Linked DNA regions of Callithrix jacchus. The protein of the gene in region 2 purifies or fractionates together with the protein of the main gene of each other region. This does not show direct contact. Links are inferred from orthologs where the notes say so. Each region holds a gene or a part of one and is shown on either strand. Other genes may lie near its edges.

Region 1 (3,816 bases), on a different chromosome or scaffold from region 2:
AGTAAGATGATTTGTTCAAGGCCCCACAGTTACTAAGAGGCTGAAAAAGGAGGAACTCCCTCAGGTTTTTAAAAATTCTAAATAAAAAATCTTGACTTCTGAAAGGTATTATCTAATAATTTAGTTGGCTACTTAAAGTACTTTGGGATCCTATTCTCCTCAGTATTTTTGGGGCCTTTTCAACTCAACATTTTTCAGACAGCAGCAAACTAATCTGTTACATTATCTATACTGAAAAGAGTTCAAAGTCCCCTTCTTCTCCATTGACAGCTTTTAAATGAAATCTTTAGAAACCCAATGCAGAAAAAATATAAAAGCAGAGCTGCCTTGATTAAAACATACAGGAGTCCTGCTTTTACTTGCTGTTTTGTCCTGGAAGCCCCTGAAATACTTTCTTGGCATCTTAGGTGTCAAAGAAACAGTTTATTTCTAATGTATGAGAGTGTTCTAGGGTGCTGCTACTCAAAATATGTTCCTCAAACAATCAGCATCACTGAGGAGTTTGTTAGAAATGCACAATATGAAACTTCAACTCAGGCCTACTGAAAAATCACAACGAGCATATTTAACAAGATGCCTAGGTGACTGATAGGCACATTAATGTTTGAGAAGTTTCTCAAATGATATGAAGAAACACACACACACAGACAAACACACACACACTCTGCAGACCCAAATTTTTATTAGAGTTACATGACACACAATTACTACAGCTATCTTGTCATGGACCAACAACAAACAGTTTACAGACTCACACTTGGGGTAGCAATGCTCTATAGCAACCAAACCTTAAACGGTGATCCTGATCAAATCACAACACCTGATATACTAAGAAGTTAGAAACTTACTTCTTATCAAAAAATGTTGAATTCTCCTTCCTCTTGGTGAATCCGTTGGGTAGAAGTTTTAAATTAATACCTTGCCTTCGGGCACGATTTTTCATAAAGTACATCTACCAACCAAAACCAAACAGACAAATTAACTTTTAAATGCTTCAAATTTAAAAAGTGAGTGAAACAATTGTTCAATAATAGTTTAGATTTACTGAAAACCTAAGTGTTACAACAGCTCTAAGAAGTAATCTCATGTAATCTTCACAATGATACTATCAGAATAGGTATTATCATCTCCATTTCAGCAATAAGAATTAGTGAGATACCAACATTATACAGCTATCCCAGAGAGAAAGAACCTGTATTCAACCCAGGTCTAATTCTAGAGCTTGTGTTTTTAACCATAAGTGCTATGAGTCAAAGAATAATTTAATGGAGATTAAAACAAACAAACAAACAAACAGGTCATTTGGCAATCATAGGGGCTACCTACACAATTCTTGATTGCTTTTACTGATGGTTTTACCAGTTAGTTGTATGTATCCCTGATTTTATTAGTAGACAATTCACTCAAGGGAAGAGCCATGGCACTGCCTAGTACCAGGCCTAGCTTAAAGTAGCCACTGTTGTGTGAAGCACAAAATGGGATATGAGAACATTCTTGCTTTGACATGTGTACTACATTGACCACGTGGGTTGATTAAAAGCTAAACTGGAGAATTCCAGAGTTACGAAGGAATTAATACCAGATTTTTTATTAAGTCAAGGAAAAAGATCACTCAAAGAAAAGGTAAAGTATAAATGCAAGTTTTCTGTTAAATGAATATGGATCTAGAATTTGCAATGTAAAATGGTAGAGTCAGAATCAAGTCATGAGCCAAGGGAAAGAATGGGTCAGCTATCACTGGCTAAGCAGGAAACTGTCTGAAGAAATTGCATGTAATTTTCTAACTTAGAGGACTTTGGTTTCAGTAATGGTATTGATTACTATAAATAATTATAATAGCAGTGATCAATCCTCCCAATATACCTTCAGGAAAAGGGTGAACCAGAAACTATCACTATTTTGAGAGCAAGCTAGGGAACTTGTATGGTTACACTGAAATAGAGGAAAAAAAAAAGTCCATTAGCAGCTATGGCTATGGGCCATCCTTTGCTTAGATTTGCAATTATTTTGCCTTGCAAACATCAATGAATAGCCAAACACTAGAGAAAAGGAAGTGGGAGGCCTTAATCAGATAACAAGTTTCAGTAAAAAACTAAAATAATTGAGAGAGTAGTATTGGTGCAGGATAGACCAGTAGGTCAATGGAATGGAAAAGACAAGCCCACAAAATAACCCAAGCATATAGGGATGCTGATATATAACAAAGGTGGTCCTACAGAGCAGTAGGGAAAGGATGAACTTTCCAATAAATGGTGCTGGGAAAAGTGGATCATCTATATGAAAAATTAAATGGGACCTTCTCTGTACATGATACCAAAAATCAATTCCAGTTAAAGACATAAGTATAAAATGCAATAGTATAAAGCTTTTAGGCAATAATTATGAGGGAATAACTTCCTAACTCTCATCAGAAATTAGAGAACTGCACATTGAAAACCATAATAAAATTACATAGCCAACAGATTGACAAAAATTTTTAAAGTCTTACCAAATTAAGTATTGGTGAGAATATGACAACAGGTACATTTATACACTACTGGTGAGAGTGTAAACTAGTATATCACTTTGGAAAATGTTTTGGTAACATCTAGGCAAACTGAAGATATGCATACCATAAAACAAAGCAATTCTATTCTCAGGTATAAACCCTAGAAAAACATCTTCACACACATAAAGATCAGGGAAGGGCATAAGAGGGTGGCATGGAACTTCTGGGAAGCCAGTAATGTTCTAATTCTAGACTTGGGTGGTAGTTACATGAATGTTCATTTTATAATTTTTCATTATACTGTGTATTTCCATTCTGTGACTTTCTAAAACAAATACATGCTGTATTTTACAATTAAAAAAAAGTTTTAAAGTAATTTATCTCTAAGTAGAATTTTAATTGTGCCTAATTAAGTTTGAGGAAAAATAAGAGTTGCTGTATAAATAATTTTCTTTCAGATACATGTAATATAATACCAATAAAAAATGCCAATACCAATAAAATAAGGTATTTAAAAGGTATTAAAATCCTGCAACTCCAATACTAAAATGAACACAATTGCAGGATATGATTTAATCATACCATGAACGAATTTTTGTAACGCCAGTTGCCAAACATTCCAAATATGTAAGCTGTACTTCTGCATAGTATTTAAGGAATGAAAAAGGCAATGCAAGAGTATGAAAATTAAGTGTATTAGAATAGCAAGTCTTAGCTTTTCCTTCAAAATCAGAATCTAATCCCCTCTCAATAATTCTAAGGGCATACCCAAGCCACTATTATCTCACAAGGATCACGCGAAGAGCTGCATAAATGGTCTCCCTGCTTCCAATCTTCCACTCTTGCCTCCCTAAAGTCCACAGAGCAGCAAGAGTGGTTTTTCAAAAGGCAAATTTTTGTCCAAAATCCTTCCATAGTTTCCATTTGCACTTAGAATTAGAAACCCTCACCAGTTTCTTTTTCTTCTTTCTTTTTCTTTTGAGACAGAGTTTCACTCTGCTGCCCAGGTCGGGGTGCAGTGGTGCAATCACAGCTCACTGCAGCCTTGACCTTCCTGGGCTCAGGTGATCCTCCTACCTCAGCTTCCCAAGTTGTTACAGGGGCACACCATCATGCCTGGCTAATTTTTGTATTTTTTTTATAGAGACGGGTTTTTCACCATATTCTCCAGGCTGGTCGTGAACTCCTGGGCTCAAGCAAGGCTCCGGCCTCAGCCTCCCAAAGCGTTTGCATTACAGGAATGAGTCTCTGCACCCAACTCCTCAACAGTTTCTCTAACTTCATGTTTAATACTCTCCTTCTCACTCACCATGCTTCAATCACCCTGC
Region 2 (4,430 bases):
TCAAGACTTCAGTGGAGGAAGTCACTTCAGATGTAGTGGAAACAGCAAGAAAACTAGAGTTAAAGTAGAGCCACAAGATGTGACTGAATTGCTGCAACCTCATGATGAAACTCTAATGGATGAGGAGTGGCTTCTTATGGATGAGGAAAGGAAGTGCTTTTTTGAGAAGGAATCTATTCCTGGTGAAGATGCTGTAAACACTGTTGAAATGAGGACAGAGGATTTATAGTATACATAAACTTAGTTGATAAAGCTGTCTCGACTTCTGGGCTCAAGGAATCCTCCTGCCTCAGCCTTCCATGTAGCTGGGCCCACAGGCATGCCACCATGTCTGGCTAATTTTATTTTTTGTAGAGATGGGGGTCTTACTTTCTTGCCCAGACAGGTCTCAGATTCCTAGGCTGAAGCAATCCTCTTGCCTCAGCCTCCCAAAGTGCTGAGATGAGGGTGGATACAGTGGCTCACACTTGTAATCCCAGCACCTTCACAGGGAGGGTGAATTACTTGAGGACTGCAGTTCAAGATCAGCCTGGTCAACATGGTGAAACCTCATCTCTACTAAAAATACAAAAATTTGCCAGGCGTGGTGGCAGGCACCTGTAATCCCAGCTACTTGGATGGCTGAGGCAGGAGAATCACTTGAACCTGGGAGGCAGAGGTTGCAGTGAGTCAAGATCGCGCCACTGCACTCCAGCCTAGGCAACAGAGACCCTGCCTCAAAAAATAAATAAAGTGCTGAGATTATAGGCGTGAGCCATCCTGCCCAGCCTAAAGTATTTTTTAATCAAGGTACATAAGTTTTTTTTGGACATAATAATATGCACGCTTAACAGACTATGATAAAATGTAAAAATAACTTTTTTGCCCCATATGACCTGCAGGAAAATTTTTATATGCACTGGGAAAAACAAAGTGTCTGACTTGCTTTACTGCAGTGGTCTGTGACTGAACCCCCAAGAGCTCCAAGGTATCCCTGGATCCAGAATCTGACTACTTCTCACCATCCCTTGAGCTTCGCCCCGGTCCAAGTCTCCAATATCTCTCATTCAGACAAGTAACTACAATAGCTCCTAACCAGTTTTCCTTTCAGTCAATTCCCATCAACAGACACATTAAACCTCTTAGAGCATAAATCGGATCATGTCACTCCCCTCTACTATCCACCTCACGACAGTAAAAGTCAACGTCCCACAATCTACGAAGACCTACCAGGTCTTATCCTCTTCCCCCATCTTCCACACTCCAGGCTCAGTCCTCTGTAGCCAGACTGCTTCCCATTCTGATGTATAGCTTCTAAGCCTTAAGGCCTTTGCACTTGCAGTTCCTTGAGCCTGTACCCCTATTCTCCCAGATGTATGTATGGTTGTGAACCCTCGCCTCCTTGAAGTCTTTGCTAATATGTCACCTTCCTTGTGACTAAAATGACATTTAAAACTGCACTACCAGGCCGGGCGCGATGGCTCACGCCTATAATCCCAGCACTTTGGGAGGCCGAGGTGGGTGGATCACGAGGTCAAGAGATCGAGACCATCCTGGTCAACATGGTGAAACCCCGTCTCTACTAAAAATACAAAACTTAGCTGGGCATGGTGGCGCGCGCCTCTAGTCCCACCTATGGGGAGGCTGAGGCAGGAGAATTGCTTGAACCCAGGAGGCGGAGGTTGCGGTGAGCCGAGATCGCGCCATTGCACTCCAGCCTGGGTAACAAGAGCAAAACTCCGTCTCAGGAAAAAAAAAAAAAAAAAACTGCACTACCTGGCCAGGCGAGGTGACTCACGCCTGTAATCCCAACACTTTGGGAGGCGAGGAGGGCGGATTGCCGGAACTCAGGAGATCCAGGAAGGCCTGGCCAACACCGTGCAACCCCATCTCTACTAAAAATATAAAAAATAAGCCGGGCCTGGTAGCGTGGGCCCATAATCCCAGCTCGGGAGTTTGAGGCATGAGAATTGCTTGAACTCGGGAGGCAGTGGTTGCAGTGAGCCTCTCTGCAGAGGTTGCATAAGCTGGAGTGAAGTAGCTCGCGCTACTCTTCACTCCAGCCGGAGAGACGTAGGGACACTCTACCCCCCACAACAAACAAACAAAAAAAACAAACCCATACTACCTATCATTCTTCTTTATCTCACTCCACTGCACTCATAACCTTCTAATGCACAATATTTTATTTTGCTTATTGTCTGTCTTCCCACACGAGAGATATTAATATTAAGCTCCACAAAGACAAGAATTTTTTTTGTATGTTCTGCTCACTGCTATATACCCAGATTCTGATACATAGTTGAATTCAGTAAGTAACTGCTAAATGGAATTAACAGGCAACAGGGAAACATTCTAGTCAGACATATTTTGAGACATTAATGACCAGACTCCAAGAGTGCAGAGGCAAGGCAGAGTGGAGAGAGGAAACGGAAAGTGCAGAGGAAAGAACGGAAAAAAGGTAAAGGGGTCGACCCACCTGGAGGAATAGCCTACCTGGAGGATTGAAGGACTTCTGATGACGAGAAAATCTATCAGAAGACTGTCTCCAATACCATGATGTGGAAGCGTGGAAATTCCAGGAAGGCTGGCCATTGGGTTGAGGCTGAGAATCAAGGGGGAACTGGGCATCGAAGGGGGGTTGCGCCCCGGGAAGAATCTGGGCGTCGAAGGGGGGCGGCGCCCCGGGGAGAGACTGGGCCTCCGCGGGGGGCTGCGACTCAGAGGAAGCCTTTGACCCGGCTGAGGGAGACGAAGACGTAAGCGGTGGCGGTGGCGGCGGCAGCATTGTCCAGAGCATCCAGCTGTCCCGCCGCAGGGCAGTGTCGCTCTGAGGCCCTAACGTGGGAGTCAGCTCGGGAGACTCACGCCACCCGGCAGGACTTACGAAATCACCAGCCGGCTCAGCCATACCTTCTGCCGGGTCCTGAGTCTAGCACGCGACTGCGGAGCAAGCATTAGACGTCACTTCCGTTGCCGTAAACCACGCGGCCCAGCCAACCACAGACTTTACGTCATCAGTCGGCGCCGGGAAACCTTCCATTCTTCTCTGCGGATCGCGGGATTACTTTGGGATAGGTTTGACGTACCTGGATAGACTCGTATCTGTGACCAGTGTCCGCCACTGCGGATGGCAAGGGACCTGATCGGACCGGCCCTGCCGCCCGGCTTCAAGGCCCGCGGAACAGCGGAGGACGAAGAGCGGGATCCGAGCCCCGGTAAGCGGCCGCGTCTCCGCAGCCCACCAGGCCTATCTACCCCCTCCCTGGCCGGGCCCTGCACGCTGAAGAAAGGTCGGAAGCCTAGGAGGACGGAGGAGTGGGGAGTGGGCACGGCCCGACCCGAGAGGACTTTTCTTCCCAAACGGTAGCAGTAGGGAAGAGGCTGGGGTACCCTCCTAGAAACCGAGTTTTGGCGTGGTAATCTTCGTAATGACAGTACATTCTCATTTAGCGCTTAATGTGAGCTGCAAGCTGCCCTAACTGACTGATACCCATTCAGTCATTTAATCCGTAGGAGGAAAAGACTATTTTCCCAAGTTGCAGATGGGTACGCCCATTGCCAGGGTCTGCAGCATACTGCTAGCAAGTGCTGGAGCGCGACTTAGAAGGAAGCGGTTCTCCTAACCTCTGTGCCATATTTGCCTTCTGATGTACAAGAAGCTTGCAGATCCTGTTCTCTCCAGCCCCGACCTGCCTTCCTAGCCTCTCATTCTATTATTGCATCTGACACACACAGCCCAATACTCAAACCACCAGCCTGTGTTTCTGCGCAGTTTCTTAACGCTCCAGGCTTATGGGCTTCCTCTGGTTGCATTTCTAAACATAACTAACAAACTTCTACCTATCCTTCAAGGGCCAACTAACATGTCACACAATAAAACCATTCCAAATTCCCCGAAGCATTGTCACGCCTTTCTTTTTGCCCTCGGGTTTTTTCCTAATTACATTGCGTATTTAGTACATTTGTATCTGAATAATTTGTCGACACATCTCTCTCCACCAATGCGCTATGGTCTTGTACCAGAAAACACAACAGGCACTTCGTGTATACCAAACAGATGCTTCTCACATTCCGCCATGCATACCTATGTGCTTTAATGTTTGTTCATAAACCTGAAAGAGTAACCCTGCCATTTCTGAACCTAATTTGTCTTCCTTGTCTACCCAGAGGCCATTTTTCTACTACAGGCCTCCTAATCTAATTTCTGTTATAACCTTTTAAAAAATCATGCTTTCCAGCTGGGTGTGGTGGCACAAGCCTGTAATCCCAGCACTTTGGGAGGCCAAGGCAGGCAGATCACTAGAGGTCCGGAGTTCGAGACCAGCCTGGCCAACATGGTGAAACCACCTTTCTACTAAAAATACAAAAAAATTAGTCAATTGTGGTGGCAGGCTCCTGTAGTCCCAGGTACTCAGGAAGCTGAGGCAGGAGAATCACTTGAACCCAGG

Evidence for each region.
Region 1: the proteins of NUFIP1 (region 2) and ZNHIT6 purify together in Homo sapiens (affinity purification with western blotting; 3 studies listed by BioGRID and IntAct, with this or other methods). This does not show direct contact. The link is inferred for Callithrix jacchus from reciprocal best matches to the Homo sapiens genes NUFIP1 and ZNHIT6.

Annotation. Positions count from the first base shown.
Region 1 is NC_133508.1:122,939,748-122,943,563, forward strand, and holds part of ZNHIT6 (box C/D snoRNA protein 1), read right to left. Parts: intron 953-3,816; coding exon 849-952; intron 1-848. UniProt on the Homo sapiens protein: Required for box C/D snoRNAs accumulation involved in snoRNA processing, snoRNA transport to the nucleolus and ribosome biogenesis.
Region 2 is NC_133506.1:164,197,834-164,202,263, forward strand, and holds the start of NUFIP1 (FMR1-interacting protein NUFIP1), read right to left. Parts: upstream 2,927-4,430; 5' UTR 2,891-2,926; coding exon 2,476-2,890; intron 1-2,475. Other genes in the region: GPALPP1 (GPALPP motifs-containing protein 1), read left to right, coding at 3,110-3,197. UniProt on the Homo sapiens protein: Binds RNA.